Linked DNA regions of Cricetulus griseus. The protein of the gene in region 1 purifies or fractionates together with the protein of each later gene. This does not show direct contact. Links are inferred from orthologs where the notes say so. Each region holds a gene or a part of one and is shown in the gene's direction. Other genes may lie near its edges.

Region 1 (10,219 bases):
TAACGATGTCGTCACCAAGGGACTACCGTTAGAGCCCAAGTCCCTTGACTCCGGGACTGATGTTTTCCACTAATTGTGCTCCTCTCTCTCTATCTGAGAGCTGCAAGTGCAAAGGGCTGGAGAAGGCAGGAGACTTCTATGAGCCAAATCTGCCAGGTGGGGATGCTCTCAACCCTGAAGGTCCTCGGCAACCGCCCGTGACACTTTCTTTTGTTTTGGCGGAGCAAGATGAAAACTGCAACCACAGACCCCAGGGACCAAGAACTGGAACTAGGTACCGCTTGCTATGGTAACTCTCTCTTCCTCGGCCGGGGCCAGCCGGCCTGCCCTCTCTCACTTCTCCCTTCCGCCAGGCCCCGGCGCATCCCCACTCCCCATCCCTCGGTCCTCCCTTCCTTCCTTCACCCGGTCCGCACTGCACACCCAAGTTCCGTGTCCCCGCTCCCTCCAGTCTTAGCTCGGGTTCGCGGCACTGCACGCGCGCTCCAGCTGAGACTTCGGTCGGAGCCAGGGAAAGCGCGGGTGCCGAGTGGGTCCTGGGGCTCCTCAGGACAAAGCACGACTTAGACAATGAGGACCGTGCCTCCTCCCCGGAGGAGCGCCGCCGGCTCCGCTCCCCTCGGGCGCCTACGGAGCGCGCGCGTGTTTACACTTTCCTACCCCCGGCGGCGGATCCGGGGGGCATTCCAAACCGTTACTCCGCCCGCCGGGGTGGGACCAGCCCAACGGCTGAGCCTGCGCTCTGGGCCGGCCGGCATCGGCGGACTACAAATCCCAGGAGGCCTCGCGCCTCAGGGGCGGGCAGCGGCTGACCTCCCCTCCGCTCTTCCCTCTACTTCCTATTGCCGTTCAACGGCAATAGGTGTCCCTCATACAGCCGAAGGCTGCCTCCTCCGGGGAGCCCTCGTGTCCCCGCTCTTTCTGCCTCAGCTCTGGCTATGCCTGACTCCCTCGTAAGAGTCGGGTGGCGGCGGCAAGGGAAGGAAGCCCCAGCAAGCGACCCGAGAGCACTTCCGTCTCTGGGCTCCGGAAGGTAGAGCGCACGCGCTTGCTGCGACTGCGGAGCGACTCACTTCCGCTCCCACTGTGCCCTGCGAGCCGAATCATGGATCACACTGGTAAGGAGGCGGAGGCAGCGGGGGTCCTGGTTTCGGGCCCCCTTGGCTCGTGTGGGACTGCTCGCCCGGGGGGCATAGGGGCTCCCCTTCCCTCGCGGCGCCGGGCCGTGGCGGGGAGGACGCGAGCTCGCAGGCCCGGTGCGGGCTGGGCCTGCTGCCCCGGCCTACCCTTGGGAGCCGTGCCTCGGTCCCCGAGACCGGCTGCCCCGCCGCGGTGCCGCCGAGCCCGCTCTCCCGACACTGCGCCGCGCAGGCTCGCCGCGAACGGGAGAGGGCCAGTTTGTTTGTTGTTTGTTTGTTTGTTTTCCCCCATCCCATTCCGGTTGCGCTGCCCTTATAGCCGGCTGGACTTCACTTAGGGAATTGTAGAAGCGCCCGGACGCCGGGCGAGAGGGGGTTGGAGACTTCCTGCTGCCTCCCGACTTCGGGGAGCTGCTGCTCTGCTGTGCTCCTCCCTGTGGTGGTTGTCTCTGGGTTTTCACGGACTAGAGGTTAGAGAATCGGATGTAGGTTTCGAAGTGATCAGCGGAGCATCTTTTCTAAACCCAAAGCATGCCCCACCCTTCGGCCGTGGTCCATTTGCATCTTTGGGGGACATATACAAAAAAATAATTAAGATCAAGACATTTCCATCGCGTATTCCAAGTAATAGTGGCTTCAGACTTTGTTTCTGCTAGCTTCGTCTTCTTTCTTAGTTATTGAATGAGTGCATTTGGCTTTGAGTGTTTCAGACATACAGACAAGCAGGAAGAAAAGGCCTTTTCTTTAAGAATTGATGGAGATGCCCTCAGTCTTCAAATAACTACTTAATTATATAATTGCTTGCAGATACTTGTAGGCTTGGAGATAGAATGATGGGCTGGTAAACAATAGGACTGTGTCCTTGCCTTCGAGTATACATACATTCTATCAAAAGCGACAGGGAGGTTGGTTTCTTTTTAAAAAAACCGCTTACAGAGTGTGGTGAGTACTTCAAGAAAACAGGTGCTTACGGAGTAGAAATTTCAGACAGTGCCAGGGAAAAGTGTTTCTGGAATGATAAGACGTGGAGAAAGGCAGATGTCTGCGGTCTAGTTAGCAAGAGGAAGAGCCCAAGTTGAGATGAGAAAGAACACGTTACCTCGTTCAGGAATTTGAGAATCATGGTAAAGGGTTTAATTTTAAGTGGCTACAAAGAAATTGCACAAAACTAGGAGTATAATAATTTTAAAAGTAATCCCAGCTCCTCTATGGAGAATGGTGTAGGAGAGGAAGAACAGGAATCACCAGAGGGAGGCTCACTTTAGTCAAAGTGTAGCTCAGTGATAGAGCACTTACCTAACTAGCACAGGTCCTGAGTTTAATCCCCAGCAATGCTGTCGGGGGGAGGGGGGGGAGTTGGGGCTGTGCACAGACAATGGGCAGTTGCAATAAATATTTTGATCGAGAATCCAACAACCACTAGTGGATTGGTTTGTGTGGAAGTATGTGAGAGAAATGAGAAAAAACTGAGTTTCTCATTAGAGTGTCTTTTAAAAATTCCAGTTTCTAAGTTATTAATTAAAGGTTGCCCCCAGAGAGATACAAATCATTCTAACATGAAAATAATCACTATAAGCTAGCTAGATTTTTTTAAAAGAGTTTCCAGCCAGCTATCCTTTCTGCTTAACATTGGCTTTTCTAGGTTTTAAATTACTTATTAGGCAGTCGCCTTAATGTTTCAGTGTTAATTGCTGTACATTTTGAGGGAAAAAAATCAAACTAAGTGGAATGACTCAAACTTTCACAAGACTCAAATACAAATTTGAAAACTATTTGAATCACAGAGCCTTTGGCAAATCAAGAAAATGCCAGTTAGCTAGTTAATTGACATTTCCTGACTGGATAGGCTTCTCAGAGTAATGATTTTAATGTCAAAGGGTCAAGAGGTCTTGTAAATGGAAGCATTGAAATAGAATTTTGCCAGAAATAAACAATTCCAGAAATCCCTCCCTCCCTCCCTCCCTCTTTTTTTTTTTTTTTTTGAGATAGGCTTTCTCTGTGTAGCCCTGGCTATCCTGGAAGTCACTCTGTAGAGACTGCTGTTTTTTTTAAAGCTACTGTTTGCCTCACAGACTTCAAGTGACAGCATTCGGGGCTGGAGAGATGGCTCAGGAGTTAAGAGCACTGGCTGTACTTCCAGAAGACCTGGGTTCAGGTCCCAGCACCCAGATGGTAGCCTCAAGTTTCAAGGGGATCTGACACCTTCACGCAGACATACATGCAGGCAAAACACAAATGCACATGAAATAAAAATAAAATTATTAGAAAAGAAACATTGGGCTCTTAAAAGGGCTAGGCTGGCTGTTCAAATAATGGAGAGCTCAGTTGTGTGAGGTAGTTGAAAAGTGCAGATAAAGCGTGCTATTTTCATTAACAAAGGTAATACCACTAAGAATCTTTTAATACCCGAAGGGCAACAGCTTCGTTTTCATGCAAGGGAAAAAGATCATCTGTCATATGTCTATAGCTGGTAGGTACTTCTGTATGGATGAGTTAATACAGTGAAGACTGCTGAAATACATGAACAGACATAAAAAGATCATCTGTCATATGTCTATGGCTGGTGGGTACTTCTGTATGGATGAGCTAATGCAGTGAAGACTGCTGAAATACATGAACAGACATTCTATCAATTTTAGTGCAGTCTTGAAGGTTGATCAAAATGTGTTTGTTTTGTTCAAGATTGTATCTATTCATGTAAAATCCCCTTTTCATGAAAAATTTTAAGAGGAGTTTGCTGTTACACTAGAAAGTAGACAGATGTTTAATTATTGAGACCCATTTTGAATTACATTTGGCTTTAATGGATGTAATGTGGACATTTGGGCTTTAAGTCTTGATTGTAATTCTTGCAGGAACTCTGATCAGTAATTTGTGTTTGAAATGTTACAATTTTAAAGTTACATTTGTATTTCCTATTTTTAAGCACTTAAGGTAAAATTGAGTATTTGTTTTGTTTTGTTTTTTGTTTTTTTGAGACAGGGTTTCTCTGTGGCTTTGGAGGCTGTCCTAGAACTAGCTCTTGTAGACCAGGCTGGTCTCGAACTCACAGAGATCCTCCTGCCTCTGCCTCTCGAGTGCTGGAATTAAAGGCATGTGCCACCAACGCCGGGCTGAGTATTTTGTGTTACATATCTTTATGTACTTGGAAACAAGTACATCCATCAGATTGAGTGTTGGATTTCTAATTTTGTTTGTCTTTATGTAAATTTACTAAGTTTACTGGGTGGATACTTTGCAGGCTTAATAATTAGATACATATTTAGAGGCAATTTTGTTTTTTCTCCTTTATATTTAAGAATCTATTACAATATGTATCAGGTTTTTTTCATTTTTATTTTATTTTTTAATAATTTTATGTACATTGATATGAGGGTGTTAGATTCCCTAAAACTGGAGTTATAGGCAGTTATTAGCTGCCAATCCCTGTCCTCTGGAAGAGTGGCTGGTATTTTTAATTGCTGAGCCATCTCTCCAGTTCCTTCTTGTACTTTAAAAATGTTTATGTTTCTGTAAATTACTATGGGAATTTTTAGTGTTCAAAGTTCTAGAAAGAGATAATACTTCTGTAACTTGTCAGCTTCTGAAAGGGTTCCATGTTCAAAGGGTAACCAAAAGCATTGTTTTAAAGGGTAACTCCAAATGAGGAATAGTAGGTCAGTCTGGTATTTAAAATCACAACCAAGATCTTTAATTTATTGTTTGATGTTGATTTTATCTTTATATTTGTAGAACAATTTTCAAAAAGAAAAGTGAAAGAAATTACAATTTCTTCTGTTCCATTCATTATAGACAATGAGTTACAAGGCACTAATAGTTCTGGATCCTTGGGTGGTCTTGATGTTCGAAGAAGAATTCCCATAAAACTCATCTCCAAACAAGCCAACAAAGTTAAACCTGCACCTCGAACTCAAAGGACTATTAGGATGCCTGCAAAGGTCCCACCAGGTGATGAAGGTAACAGTTGTATTGTTTTATCTGAGTGCACCAGTTAATCTACTTGATTTTATTTACTTAAACCTATTTAAAAAATTTTTAACCTATTTTCTAACCGTTTTTTCTCCCTTTGTAAGCCCCCTTATGATCTTTTCAAAGAATCTAATCAATATTGCAGAGAGCATTATATTAAAAGTAAAATTTGTTTTCACAATCCTTTCCAAAGCTAGTATCTGTTAAGATGGTGATGGGTGATGATGGCACACACCTTTAAACCCAGCACTTGGGAGGCAGAGGCAGGTGGATCTCTGAGTTTGAGGTCAGCCTGGTCTACAGAACTAGTTCCAAGGCTACACAGAAACTTTGTCTAGAAAAAAACAAAAACATTAGGGTGGGGTGAAGGGGTTATTTAGCCACTTATGGTGACCCATGCCAGAAATGCCAGTACTTAGAAAGCTGAGGCAGGAGGATTGCTCAGTTGTAGTTTGATGCCAGACCCTGTTGCAAACAAAGGTGTTTTAACTTCTTTCTGCCTATTTGTTTCACTGTAACTTGACTTGAGGGATGGCAAGGTTAGTGGGTGAGGGCAATTGGCACATAACCCTGTTGACTTATGTCAATCCCTAGAACTAATGTAAAAGAGGAAGACGAGAACTGATGTCCAGAAGTTGTTTTTAAAGACCTGATTGTACATTTTAGAATTTATCAGTTCCTGCTCAGTTACTCTTCAGAAAGGGTTTGTTAGTTTACCCTCACACACACCGTTATTTCTTACTATTAAACTTTTTTTTTTTTTTTTTTGAGACAGGGTCTCCATCCTTGACCTTGAGTAGTCTTGCTGCCACAGCCTTCTGAGTGCTGTGATAATAGGCAGGGGCCACTGTGCCCATGACAGAAACTGAAGTGGATGGGTGCCATTTCTTGCCTCAGTTCCATCATCTTACTTTTGATTGGTGCCCATCTCTTAGCTTTTGAGTTCTTTGTGAAAGTGGCAGTGTTAAATGTCTGTGTAGTTCATTTATCTTTTGAATTTAATATGGATAAAACATTACTGTAAAGAATTTGAACATTCTAGGTAGTCTGTTAACTAGAGTTTGCTGTTTCACTTTCCTGTCTTTCCATTTAATTAGAAGTCAGCAAAGTGGCCTACATGTCAGATTTGGTTCCTTTAAAAAAGTAAAGTTCCCATTCATTTGGTTATTGCCCATGGCTGCCTTCCCACTACCATGGCAGAGTGGAATAGATTGATGTGACGTAGAAAGCCTAAAATTTGCACTGTGTGACCATTTATAGCAACAGTTTATCCCATGTTTTAGAGCATTTATGGAGATATATATATATATATATCTCCATATCTTTTTAAAAGTGAGGTCTTGCTTTTTAAATTTTTACTCAAACAGTTCACCAGCTCCCCAAATACTGGGTAATCTGTCTTTTCCTTCCAGAATGGAATCTTGCTGTTAGCACATATTCAAGTTCTAGGAGGACTTGTCTTACTCCTAAGTTTTGTTCTTATGATCTGTTTCTCTTCAGAACCAAACTGCTTTCATTGTGTTTTATAACGTATTCTACTGTAAGCTTCCTCTCATATACTAAGGTAGTAGATTTGAAGTTAAATGTTGTAAATCACAGTAGTGAGTTTGGATGTGCTCAGTGATATAGTACATGCTCAGCATGCACAAAGGCTGGCTGAGAACAGCAGCGTAGGCAGATGCTGCACTATTGTAATCTAGGCTTCCCCACCCATGCTGACCTTTAGTCAATTATTTTTTGACTGCACATAATATACTTTGTATAATCAAAGTGCAAAAAAGCCAAGTTCCCCCTTCTGTACTTCTTCCTGTAGGCAGAATTTTTTGTTGGGACTGCGATTCCCAAATAACCACTGCAAGACTTCTTATTAATTATAAAAGCTAGACCAGTAGCCCAGGTTTATTACTGACCTGCTCTTACTACTTAAATTAAGTCATTTCTTTTGACCTGTGTGTTGTCCTAAGGCTGTGGCTTTTACCTCTCTTGCATGTCCTGCTTCCAGCAACTCCTCTGACTCTACCCTTCTTCCCAGCATTCTCTCTGCCATGAAAAATCCTGCCTAGCCATTGGCTAATCAGCTTTATATTAACAATGAGCACAACACATATTTACCATATGTACGAAGATTGTTCTACAGCATTTTCCTCTAGGCATTTCACCCACATTCCAAAGCCATACAGCCTCTTTTATAGGGGACCTACTATTGCTCTTATAAGAGAGCAAACTGATCTGAAAGATAGTTTTTGAATTTAAAAAATATTTTCTTATTCTAAAATTGATCAAAATGGAGTTTTGGGTGTAAGTATGATAACTGTAAATACCTGCTTAATGATAAGAGAACAGCTTGTGCCACTCCAAAAAGTGGTCATGTGTGCCATGTTTCCCTAGACCACTGACCTCATTAATTTTCTGGGTTTGGCATGCTGATTTTCTTTAGCTTGAATTTTAATGACCACTGTTTTTATGAAGCTTAAATGGGTCATATAAGAGCTTAGGGCACTCGTCACAAGAAAGCCATGGCTTTGAACTATATAGTTTTGTTGGGATTAGTTAAAAAGTATAGTGTAGCCGGGTACATGCCTTTAATCCCAGCACTTGAAAAACAACAAAAACTGGCTTGACTTTCTGTGTGTGTGTGTGTGTGTGTGTGCACACATTAGTAGTTGTGCACAAAGTATGTGCTTTGGCCACTCTGTTTACCAGCTCTAAGGCCAAGGAAACCTTGATTGATACCTTAGATTTATTTATTTATTTATTTATTTATTTATTTATTTATTTATTTATTTATTTATGAGACAGGGTTTCTCTGTGTAGCCATAGTTGGCCTGGAACTTGCTCTGTAGATCAGGGTGGCCTTGAACTCAGAGATGCACCTGCCTCTTCCTCCGAAGTGCTGAGATTAAAGGTGTGTGCCACCATTGCCCAGCGGTATTTTTGTCTTCTTAGCTTTACTTGGGTAATTGGAATCTACCTGGACTTCCCATCAGACTGTTCATGGTTTGTGTTGTTTTGCTTGAGATTAGAGGCTTGCTGTCAACTTTTCAATTAGACTAGAAATATTCCGCCCATTTGATCTTCATAGTGTCCTGTTACATGATATTTATATATGCTGTAAATGACCAGATACTGGTAAGTATTTTGCCTCTTGCAGTCTGGGTTGTTGACTAGGGAGAGGCTTTAGCTAAAAGGATCAAGTGTATTCTTTTCATCTGTTATTTCTGAAACTATTCCCTCTTTGAGGGGCAGTCATAAAAAGCCTGTAGAATTTATTTAATCCTTTGGCAATCAGATCAGTCTCTTGTGGCTTAATACCACTTTTGTAGGTGCTTTAGAATAGATGATGATAGTACTTTAAAATTTGGGCAATAAACTTAATGGCAAGGTTTTATAATAGAGACGTGTGTGGAGTTGATGAGAGCATTGAGTAAGACGCTTATATGGTGGTTTCAATATACACTGCACATCATCCTCTGTAAAGTCCTACAGATGGACTAGATGATCACCAGGCTCAGTTGGCATTGTAAACTAGTTTTGATTTCATGTTCTTAGATCTTTGAAAGTCATCAGAAACATTTTTCGGTAAATAGGTCTATTTTGTCATGTAAATATTACTTTAACAATGAAATTTGAAGTTGCAAAGTGTAATATAACTTTTTTTCTCAGAAGGATTTGATTATAATGAAGAACAACGGTATGACTGTAAAGGAGGCGAACTCTTTGGAAATCAGCGAAGATTTCCAGGACATCTTTTTTGGGATTTTAAGGTATAACTAAAAATAAAAAAATAAGTATTAAGTACTGATATAAATTTTTAGTATGTCTATAACTTAGCACACACATAAGTTCACTTGCTTGTTTCTATATCTTCCAAAATAATTTGAGGTAATTTTTCAATAAACCAAGTAAAATCAACTACCACTATTTAAGGAGAATAAGCAAACGGAGTTATACTAAGCAGCTTTTATTTCTGTTTGTAGTAACAACTGTTATAGAATTCCAACCATTTCACTGTGTGAATTGATAAGTACAATTTTCAGAATTGCTTAAAGAGAAAATTTTAATTATCATTTTAACAGATAAACATCTTAGGTGAAAAGGATGATACTCCAGTTCATTTCTGTGACAAATGTGGATTGCCTATTAAAGTCTATGGGAGAATGGTAAGTACAGAGAAAGTGTAGTTTTGTAGATGATCCACACCTCTCTGTAGAAGTCGGATTCTGAAATAGAGCTTACTTTTTTTTTTCTTTTTGGTTTTTTCGAGACAGGGTTTCTCTGTGTAGCTTTAGAGCCTATCCTGGCACTCGCTCTGGAGACCAGACTGGCCTCGAACTCACAGAGATCCGCCTGCCTCTGCCTCCCGAGTGCTGGGATTAAAGGTGTGCGCCACCAACACCCGGCAAGCTTATTATTTTGTATAACTAATTTTAAAACATAGTATGCACAAAGAAGCTAAGGAAAGTTTTATAATACTATGAATTTAACATACTTATTCTTTACTCTTTTGGAATAGTTTCAGGAGAAACACAGTAAGATAAAGCACATTTAGTGTTCTTTTCAACATTGATGGGTTCACATACCTATCTGAGAATAGAAGCAGGTGCCAGGCAATCTGGTTATCCTAGTACTCTGAAGGTTGAGGCAGAGGGATCATTAGATCAAGGCCTGCCTCAGGTACATCAGAGCTTAAGGCCAACCTGAAGTACACCTGAAATCCTGTCTCCAAAAATGAAAAGCAAAGCATTAGCAGATGTACATAGATTTATTGGGAAAAGAGCCAGAGTTTTCAAAACATTTTCAAAAACTTGTGCACACCTTTAATTTGAGCACTCAGGAGGCAGAGGCAAGCAGATCTCTGAGTTTGAGGCTGGCCTGGTTTCCAGAGTGAGATCCAGGACAGTCAGGGCTACGCAGAGGAACCCTGCCTCAGGGGGGAAAATATCAATCAGTCAAACAAACAAACAAATAAATAAATGTTAGCTGCTACTGGTGTATAGTCATAAGTTCTCATTTAAATAATTCCTGTGTGCTTTCTGTCTGTTCTGTTACTGAAATATTCTAAATTGTTCTGTGTGCTTTCTGTCTGTTCTGTTACTGAAATATTCTAAATT
Region 2 (9,617 bases), on another chromosome or scaffold:
AAACAATTGTTTTTAAAAAAGAAGAAGGAAAGAGAAGTTAGCGCTGGGGAGGTAACTTGGCTGGTAGAGTGCTTGCCTGCATGCAAAGGCCCTGAGTTCCATCTCCATCACTGATAAACAGGGTTTGGTGGGTTAGCAGGTTATCCTCAGCTACTTAGCAAGTTCAAGGTCAGCCTGGGCTATGTGAGACCCTGTCTGGAAAAGATAAGGTGAAGAAGCAACCAAGGAAGCCGTCCTCTTGGCAGCATCTGGCTTTCTACATGTGCTGGTGAGTGCATCCCCCACAGGTACACAGAAGCATGTACACCTCTTGTGTGCACACACACAGATGCAATTTAAATATGGGGTTTAACAGAAAGAGAAACGCATATGAAAAGGACAGGACACACAGGTGTTGGTGGGGCTTCTGAAGGGCTGCCAGTCTCTTAGCTCTAGCTGTGAGTAAAATTTTGGAGGCTTTGGAATTGTGTTGCTCAAGGAGTTTTTAAGACTTGTCTCCTTGTCTTCTCTTTCTTTCCCTGCCCCTACTCTTTTTCTGAGGTAAGGTCTTATTATGTAGCCCTGGTTGGCCTTGAAGTCACTGTGCAGAGTAGGCTGGCTTTGAACTGACAGATCTGCCTGTCTCTGCCTCCTGAGTGCTGGGATTACAGGTGTGCGTCACCACACCCAGTCCCACCCCCCCTTTTTCAAAAAAAATGATTTATTATGTATACAGCATTCTATCTGCATGTATGCTTGCAGGCCAGAAGATGGCACCAGATCTCATTATAGATAGTTGTGAGCCCCAGATCTCATTACAGATGGCTGTGAGCCACCATGAGGTTGCTGGGAATTGAACTCAGGACCTCTGCGATAGCAGCCAGTGCTATTAACCTCTGAGCCATCTCTCCAGCCTCCAGTCCCCCTTTTAAAAAGAAAAGATTTATTATTTGTGTGTGGTGTGTGTGTGTGTGTGTGTGTGTGTGTGTGTGTGTGTGTGTGTGTGTGTGCCTTTGTGCTAGGTGGCTGGAAGAGGGCATTGGATCCCTCCATCCCGGACTTTCAGGCGTTTGCCCGATGCCAGGCTTGTCATGGGTGCTGGGACCTGAACCTGGGTTCATAACCACTGAGCCATCTTTCTAGCCCCATTTCCATCCCAGGTGAGATTGTAGGGTGGCTCTGTGCGTCTTGGGGAGAATTAAAGTGTGATGGTGAAACCTTGGGCCACACAGATGGAACAAGGAGCCTTTGACTGTGAATGGGGTTTGGAGATTGCTAGAAAAATGGCAGGTTTGGGGGCTGGAAAGATGGTTCAGCAGTTAAGAGCATGGCTGCTCTTCCAGAGAACCAAGGTTCAATTCCTAGCACCCACATGGCAACTCACACCCATCTGTACCTCCAGTTCCAGAGGACTTGACACCCTCACAAGACATATATCCAGGCAAAACATCAATGCACATAAAAGAAAAAAATGGCAGGTTTATCTGGAAACAGAGAAAGATCATACTGGAAGGCCCCTCGATCTTGGACCTTAACCATGGTTGATTGCTAGTTTAGTCTTTATTTATTATTGTGTGTATGTATGAGTGTGGGCACACGCAAGCCACAGCAAGCATGTTGAGGTCAGAAGACCCCTTTCCAGGGTCCCTCCTCACTGTGGTTCTGTGCCTGGAGTTCTGGCTGTCAGGCTCCACAGCAGCATTTCCTGGCTGAGCCATCTCTCTGGCCCTACTTGAGTTCTTATTGGAAATACCCCTACAAGGAGGGGCAGTTACCTACACCGGCAGCCTCATTGCAAGCTTCACTTGTGCTGGAGTTATGGGCTCTTGGACAGAGAGGCTTGAACAGCTTGTGTGAGGTGCTCTTTCCTTTCCCACAATCCCTTGATTTCCCGTCTTAGACTCAGAGGGTGCTGAGTGTCACCTGTCTTGCTACAACCCACTCCTGGGCTGGCTCCCAACCCTGCTGCCTCTTCAGATACCTGGTGTCTGTATAACCAGCATTAACCACAGACAGATCCTATCCCCCACACCAGCCAGCCTTGCATCCGGTGGCCCAGGTCTCCTTGGATTTGCCCACTTTACTTTCTGTATACTGGGAGGTATGTGTGTCCATTGGTTAGTGTAAGGTCTCAAGTGAAGGACCTATACCCATGTTCCATCTCCTCAAAAGATGGGGCATGCATCTTCCGGGGGCTGGTTCTCCTCCTCTCTTTAGGCACATCTGCCAAGAGACATTCTTGATCCCCTCCAATGACAGGGGGCCTACTATGCACTGTTATGCTCACTCCAAAGAAAGCTCTTACACTCAGACAATTCTTTGTATATAGTAAATAGATTTTATTTTAAAATCTTTTATATTTTGTATTGTCTCTTAAAGTACTTCTGGAACCGTTAGCCAAGGATCTGATGTCCAGGAACTGTACAACTTCCCCGGGGGTTGAGGGGACCAACTGGGCTGGCTTCTAGCAAGCCAGGCCATAGGGAAACCCATTGGTTAGCCGACCCCTCATGACCTGGAGAGAATGAGTTGCCATGGAAACAGGTGTTTCCTTACTGTCCACTGCTGGCCTGGCCCTTGGGAGTCTGGTGATTGCTTGGGTTCCTGGGCAAGCCTAGCCCCACATTCTCTGAGTCTGGGTGTCAGCCTTAGCCACACCCCAGCGTACATCTCCACATATCTGAGAGTAAAGGGCTGGCTGCTATACCCAGGTCCCCATGCATAGGAGCCACAGAGCTGGGCTTAGTGCTGCGGACAGCTGTTCTTTAAGGACACCTGGCTTGATGCTGAGGCCTTCTGCATCCCAGTGGTTCCACCCCCACTCATCCCCACCCACCCCCTGTTGGCACATCCAGAACACATGCCAGTGACCTAGTGTGCTAAGTGACTGCTGCTATGGTCCCATTTGGCCCTGCCATAGCTCTATTACATAAGGGTAAGAAATGGCATAGGGGTCATACTGGTGTAGACTAGACAGCTGAGACCAGAACTGGGGAGTTGGCTTCCGAGCCTTCCAGACCACCGTGCCAGCTCCCTTTCTCTCATTCCCAGGATCTTTGGAAAATCCAAAGGGCATTTTGGCAAGGGGAGGCTTCTGCTGGCCCTCGAGTGAAAGCTCTAATGGGTTCCATGTTCACACCCCCACAGAGGCTCTGCAGATGCGGATGTCGAGGCCCAGAGAAGGGGAGCAACTCGCCTAGGGACACCCAGTGGGAGAGGTGGAGCAGGGTCTCTAGGCTAAGACCCCGGACGCCACAGCTGGTGTTTTTGCCCAGTCCCCAGGCTGCTCCCCAGATCCACTGGGGTAGCCCTGCTGCCCACCAGGTGAGTGGAGACGAGAGAGAGAGGAGCCCCCAGCCCAGCTTCCTGGGTTGGGCACGGATGTGGAGGAGCATAGCAGGGCATTGGATGCCCTGGAGCCTTCAGCGTGGTTCCCTCTGTGTATTCTAGTCCCAGGACCTCCCAAACTTTGGGCTTCAACTTTGAACTCAGATTTCTCTCACGGCGCATCATTCTTTTGGCTGTTCATTAAGCACCTACTGTGTACCTCACTCAGTGCACTCCAGTGAACAGTTGTAGTGATTAAAAGAAGAGGGGGTTGTCTGTAACCAAGGGGGTACAGTAGTCAGGGGGCTCATGAAAGGATTTGGGGGGCCCTCCTAAAGGAGGAGACTTGAAACATTTGTATTGGACTTTATTTTTTTTTTTATTCTGTGTGCTTATGGGGAGGTGTGTGTGTGAGCCATGGCATGTGTGAGGGTCAGAAATCAGAGGACAACTCGCAGGACCATTCCTCCCACCTCTCCACCATGTGGGTCCTGGGAATTGAACTGAGGTTAGCAGGGTTTGCGGCAGGTGCCCTTACCTGATGAGCCATCTCTCCAACCCAGAAAGTGACTTTCGAGCTGAGAGCTGAAGGGTACTGATTTTCCCAGTGAAGCTGTCAGCGAGCAGTGTTTGCAGAGGTCCGGTGGCTGGAGAACAGGCCCGGCGGGCATCCCTTCTTCAAGCCACATACCGTACTCCTGCCGCTATCTTCATATTTAGCCCTCCGCCCCCCCCACACACATACCACCATGTTAAACAACTGCTCAAACTTAAGTTTACCCCTCCTGTGTGCTTGGAACCCTGATATGATTCAGTGCCCCTGCGCACAAAGGACTGAAACTGACTTTGGGTAGCTGTGGTCGGGGCTTTGGACTGGTGTAGCTGGGTCCTAAAGTGCCAACAACACGCCCATTTTACAAGTGAAGGAACGGTGAGGCCAGCTCTCCCAGGCTGACTCTTTCCCTAGCTGCTGAGTGGGTGGGGTGCCTTGTCTGCTCTCAGAGGCTCTCCTTTACCTCGTGGTCTTCTGTCGCCCCCAGCCAGGATCATGGGCAGCAACAAGAGCAAGCCCAAAGATGCCAGCCAGAGGCGCCGCAGCCTGGAGCCCGCCGAGAACGTGCACGGGGCCGGGGGAGCCTTCCCGGCTTCGCAGACACCTAGCAAGCCCGCCTCCGCCGACGGCCACCGAGGGCCCAGCGCCGCCTTCGTGGCCACCACGGCCGCTGAGTCCAAGCTCTTCGGAGGCTTCAACTCTTCGGACACGGTCACCTCCCCGCAGAGGGCCGGGCCTCTGGCAGGTCGGCTCTCCGCTTTGCTGGGTGTCCCTGGGCTGAGGTGCACCCTCTCTGGGCTCTGGGTATTTGGTTTACCAGGACCTGAGAGTGGGGAAGGACTCGTAAACTAGACAGAGGGGTTCCTGCCGCTTTGGGGCCTTCTGGGTTCAGAGCATAATGGGGTCCGAAGGAGAGGGCTGTAGGGGACCCTGAGGTCCAGAGGGAAGGACTGCCCTGGACCGCCTAGCTGCTGCCTCCCGTCCAGCCTTTGTTCCCGATTCCGCTGTGCGGTGGCCCGAGTGCGCCCCTGCGCCCTCTGTTGGCTCTGCGAGGTGCGGCAGCCCCGACACCGAGGGGCTGAGCCGGGTGACTCAAGCTCCTGCCGGATGAGTGCACGGCTACACACCCACTCGTGCAAATCCTACACTCAGACCCAGCCACACGCACAGCTGCACACCTACACAGGCACCTCTCACGACCAGACCTATGTTATGTGCCCACACTGGGCATGTGCCCACACTGAGTGGAGACACCATGGAAATGCTCACAGTGTTCACTCCGCTCCTGGAGGCACAAATAGGCTAGGCAACCCCAACGTAGCACACACAGATACAGGTGTCAGGCGTGCATACAGCCTTGCACCCTCAGATGCACCCCCAATGCAGCACACACAGACACAGGCGTGCATACGCCTTGCACCCTCAGATGCACCCGCAATGCAGCACACACAGACACAGGCGTGCATACAGCCTTGCACCCTCAGATGCGGTTGTGCACCTGCAGTCATTGCTTGCACACGGGATGCAGACAGGGGCTGGGTGCCCAGCTCCACAGCCCACCACAGGCGACCCTTGGACAGACTGTCTGCTTCTGCCAGTCTCAGCCACACATCCATTGGTTCATTTGAGAAGAATTGTGGAGCCTTAGGCAACGGAGGGTGGGCTGCCGGTGAGGAGAGACCGAGGGGAAGGGCCCTGCAGCATGGCCCAGATACCCAGAGCTTCCAGGTACATACACAGAGAGGCAGAGTCACCACTGTGTGCTGGGGTCTGAACAGAACAAGGGTGCGTGTTCTCTGGGGCTTCTGCTTGTGTCAGCTAGACATGCCAGACAGGGAGCACTTAGCCTATCTGCAGCCCCGCAGGGAGGCACAGGCCCCTAGCTCCTTCACAGGGACTCAGTGTGCAGTCTCTCGCCACCCCTCCACACCCACCCCTGCCTCCAAGGTTCTTGACATCTCCAATCCCTCTCTGCAGGTGGGGTGACCACCTTTGTGGCCCTCTATGACTATGAGTCAAGGACAGAGACTGACCTGTCCTTCAAGAAAGGAGAGCGGCTACAGATTGTCAACAACACGTGAGTGGCACTGCCAGAATGCACTGGGGGCGTGGGCCTGTCTATACCCAGAGCTGCCGGCAGAGGGCGGTGAAGAGTCCGCAGGGCCGCTTCTGCCCTTGGTGGGTGGGGGCCCTCCCTAGACCCCTACCGCTGTCCTCCCTTTTCCTGGGCCCTGCCTTCGCACCTCAGCCTCTCCCTCTCTCTGCTTCTCTCTCGCTGGCCCTTAGGAGGAAGGTGGATGTCAGGTGTGTACCGAGGCCAGGTGGAGGGGGATGCTTCGCTGAGGCTGGGGGCTGCTGTCTGCATGTGCTTTCCCCACTGCCCTGCTCGTGGTCTCCAGCTCCCTCCCCATCCCTGTCCCCCCTCCATCTTCTCCCCATACCTTCCTGTTAGCTCACCACCTCCCTCTTCTGGTTTGTGATTCCACATTGAGTGCCAGCTACATGCATTCTGCAGGCCAGGGGGGGAGGCAGTGTGGTAGGGAGTGGGCTGCCCCAGGCCAGGCCAATAGTGGATAGAGGTAGGCTGGGGTCCCCAAAAGATGGCCATGAGGAGGGGCTGCCCATTCAAGGAAAGACAGTGGGCTACTGCAGGTAAGAGTGGCAGGCACATCCCGAGGTGGGGGCACTGCTGGTTGGAGGTTTGTGTTGGGCATTGGGGGCCTCTCCTTGGAGCAGGTAAGGCTTGGGGAGTTTGATTTGGGGTGTTCTGGCGGATACAGGAATCCATCACTGAGAGCCCCACAGGCCTGGCCAGGGAGGCAAGCTTTCCACACCCCTGGATATGTCTCGCTGCTCACGCCTCCTGATCCTTGTGCATGCGGCCTGAAATATTCCTTCTCCTCTATCCATCTGGTGAACTCCTATTCATCCCTCAAGATCCAGGGTGGAACTGCCCTCTGTGGGAGGCAAAAGCGAGCAGGTGCCATGTGCTGTGCCAGCCATCCTCACCCATACCTCCTTCATCTTGTTATCTCTGACACTGGAGGCAGCAGTAATGATGGAGGAGCTGGTCTATTTTACATATGAGGAAACTGAGGCTCGGAGTTGTGAAGGTCCTTGTCCAAGGCCACATGGCTACTGAGTAGCAAGCCCAGGATGGAACCTGGACATGTGCTCTCCCTTTCCTAGACTGTCTCCTGTCCCTTTGCTTCTGGGGATCTCAGCCTCTGGATACAGGTTGCTGCATTTGGCTGTCGTCATCAGAGGCCCCTTGATTTCAGCCTCTCTCTGCCATTGGCTACGCTGTGTGGCTTTGGGCAAATGATGGCTCTCTCTGTGCCTCTCTTTCCCCATCGGGGAGATGGATGCTTTGGATTGAAAGATTTTAGAGAGCTTTGGACCTGAGTCTGTAGCCGTGGGCAAACCCTCTTCTCCACACCTCATTTCACCAACTCTATAAAGAAAACACTGGTCTCTCTTGCCAGAGTGACTGCGTTTTCCTCCTGTCTCAAATGTACTTTCATCAGCTGGGGGTGGGAGTCTTGCCTTCTTCCTTGTAGGATAACCTTGGGGGTCAAATCAGACAGCAGGGTAGAGCTTTGGGGCACGGGTGCTGGGTGAGCTTGCAGCCTTTCTGTGTGTCTGTCCTGCACGGCTCCAGTCATACCCTCTTCACTGCACACAGCCATCTAGAAGCGTCAGGGTCTAATGCTCACCTGGCCTCCAGCAGGTCCTTCAAGCTCCCTAGCCCCACTTGCTCCAGCCTCAACCTATCCATCTGTAAATTTGGGTGAAGGTGTGCTCACCCTGTGTGTTCAAGCTGGGGCTGTGTGATGTGAGGCCAGGGCCTTCCCATCTCTGGGCCGGGGTGGGGTTGCTGTGCATCTTCTTAGAGTCAAGGTGGGGCCAAGGACAACACCAGCTGACTCATGTGACACCCGCCTTGCCAAACCCCCCAACCTTGCATGGAGATGAGCTGGAGAGCCATTGAGCCTCGTGGTACCCACAGGGAGACACCTTCCCTGGGCAAGACCTGGCTTGGCTGTGTGACCTTGCACAGAGTCCTTTGCTTCTCTGGCCTCAGTCTTCCATCTGTTCAGGGTGTGGGAAGGGCTGGACTCCACCTCCCAGGTCCTGTCCTCAGATCTCCCCTCAAACCTCCAGCCTTTGCCCTGTCTCCTTTGATTGCTTTGGATGTGAGGCCTCTGGCTGCCCCCAGCCCTGTTCCCAGTGTCCCCAGCACTGCCTGGCTCTCGCTCTCTCCCTTGACCCCCTACCACGGCCTCTCACCACCCCCATCTCTACCTCTTCTCTCCGGTTGGGCTCTCGCTTGCTCCTCCCTCCTCTGTCTCTGGACCCCTGCTCCAGCCAGACCTGGTTCACATTCAGATGGCTGCAAAGGTACTTCCTCCCCTCACCCTCCTGCCCAGGCCCAGAGCCCGAATGCTGCTGGGAGTCCTCCTCCTCCCTCCTCCCTCTTCCTCCTTCCTCCCCTTCTTCCTGGGGCAGTAAGTGTAGAGGGCTCTGGGCACTGGGGCTCTGCTGGCTCATTCCCCATGACTCGCTGTGTGACTTTGGGCATGGCCCAGTTCTCTCTGACTTCACTTTCCCCATGGATGGTGTAGGCTGCAGGAGGAGGCTTGTAGTTTCGGTTAAGGACTTTTAGGAGTGAGCTATGATTTGGGACAGGGGCAAGTATTGCTTGTTTGAAGGGATGGGCCTGGACTGTTGCTGGGCCCCAGAAGGGCCAACCTTGTCTCCATTGGGTGTCAGGGCTGTCAGGACTTGGGGAGACTTTGAAGGTCTAATCTGGCATCCATCTCATGTAAACCCTGCTTACCCTTCCTCCTCCCTCAGACAGGGAGCTCCCTCCCCCTCTCTCTCCCAAAGCAGCCCTTGGCACCTGCAGGCCGCTATGCACTTCTGGACAGTGCCTCTGAGCTGACAGGGCTCAGTTCTGCTGAGGTTTTGGGTGGCATCCTTCTGGGTCATTGTGACAGGGAGGTGTGAGGTCCAGACCAGCTCCTGCTGGCTTGCTGTGGACACAGGCTGGCCCAGCTCCCATTGCTGCAGAGCCTGGCCATGTACCTGGGAAGGTCAGGGTTGCCGACCCTGACCTCCCTGATGACATCATTCTTTGCTCCCTCCCATCTGCTCAGAGAGGGAGACTGGTGGCTGGCACACTCGCTGAGCACGGGACAGACCGGTTACATCCCTAGCAACTATGTGGCACCCTCCGACTCCATCCAGGCTGAGGAGTGAGTATGTCGTTTAGCTACTGTCGGCTGCTACTGCCACCGCCAGCACAGTGTCCCTCCTGGGCCTGATTGGCAGCAGTCAGCCACTCTGAGTCCCAGTACCCAGGGCCAGCATTGTAGGTGTGAACACTGGCCAACCAACACAGATTTGTCCCCCCACCCCAGGTGGTACTTTGGCAAGATCACTAGACGGGAGTCAGAGCGGCTACTGCTCAATGCTGAGAACCCAAGAGGGACCTTCCTTGTGAGGGAGAGTGAGACAACGAAAGGTATGCCTGAGACATCTGTAGCTGGTGGAACTCAGCTTTGAGGGTATTGTTTGAGCTGGGTATTGGAGAGTGAATAGGAGTTTGGTACGTGGTATGGGGAGGGAAGAGCCCTTCGGTGGAGGTGATAGCAGGAATTAAATCAAGATGGTGCCTGAGGAAGACAGTAATCCAGAGGTGGCCAGGGCACCCAAGCTGAGGCTTTCTGCTGTGGCCTCAGATTCTCACATGGGG

The links.
Region 2: the proteins of Cbll1 (region 1) and Src purify together in Homo sapiens (affinity purification with western blotting; 3 studies listed by BioGRID and IntAct, with this or other methods). This does not show direct contact. The link is inferred for Cricetulus griseus from reciprocal best matches to the Homo sapiens genes CBLL1 and SRC.

The regions. Positions count from the first base shown.
Region 1 is NC_048598.1:169,002,779-169,012,997, reverse strand, and holds the start of Cbll1 (E3 ubiquitin-protein ligase Hakai), read left to right. Parts: upstream 1-3,644; 5' UTR 3,645-3,659; coding exon 3,660-3,702; intron 3,703-4,931; coding exon 4,932-5,096; intron 5,097-8,771; coding exon 8,772-8,872; intron 8,873-9,184; coding exon 9,185-9,268; intron 9,269-10,219. UniProt on the Homo sapiens protein: E3 ubiquitin-protein ligase that mediates ubiquitination of several tyrosine-phosphorylated Src substrates, including CDH1, CTTN and DOK1. Targets CDH1 for endocytosis and degradation.
Region 2 is NC_048599.1:22,079,441-22,089,057, reverse strand, and holds part of Src (proto-oncogene tyrosine-protein kinase Src), read left to right. Parts: intron 1-3,126; 5' UTR 3,127-3,303; intron 3,304-4,346; 5' UTR 4,347-4,354; coding exon 4,355-4,604; intron 4,605-5,836; coding exon 5,837-5,936; intron 5,937-9,018; coding exon 9,019-9,117; intron 9,118-9,282; coding exon 9,283-9,386; intron 9,387-9,617. UniProt on the Homo sapiens protein: Non-receptor protein tyrosine kinase which is activated following engagement of many different classes of cellular receptors including immune response receptors, integrins and other adhesion receptors, receptor protein tyrosine kinases, G protein-coupled receptors as well as cytokine receptors.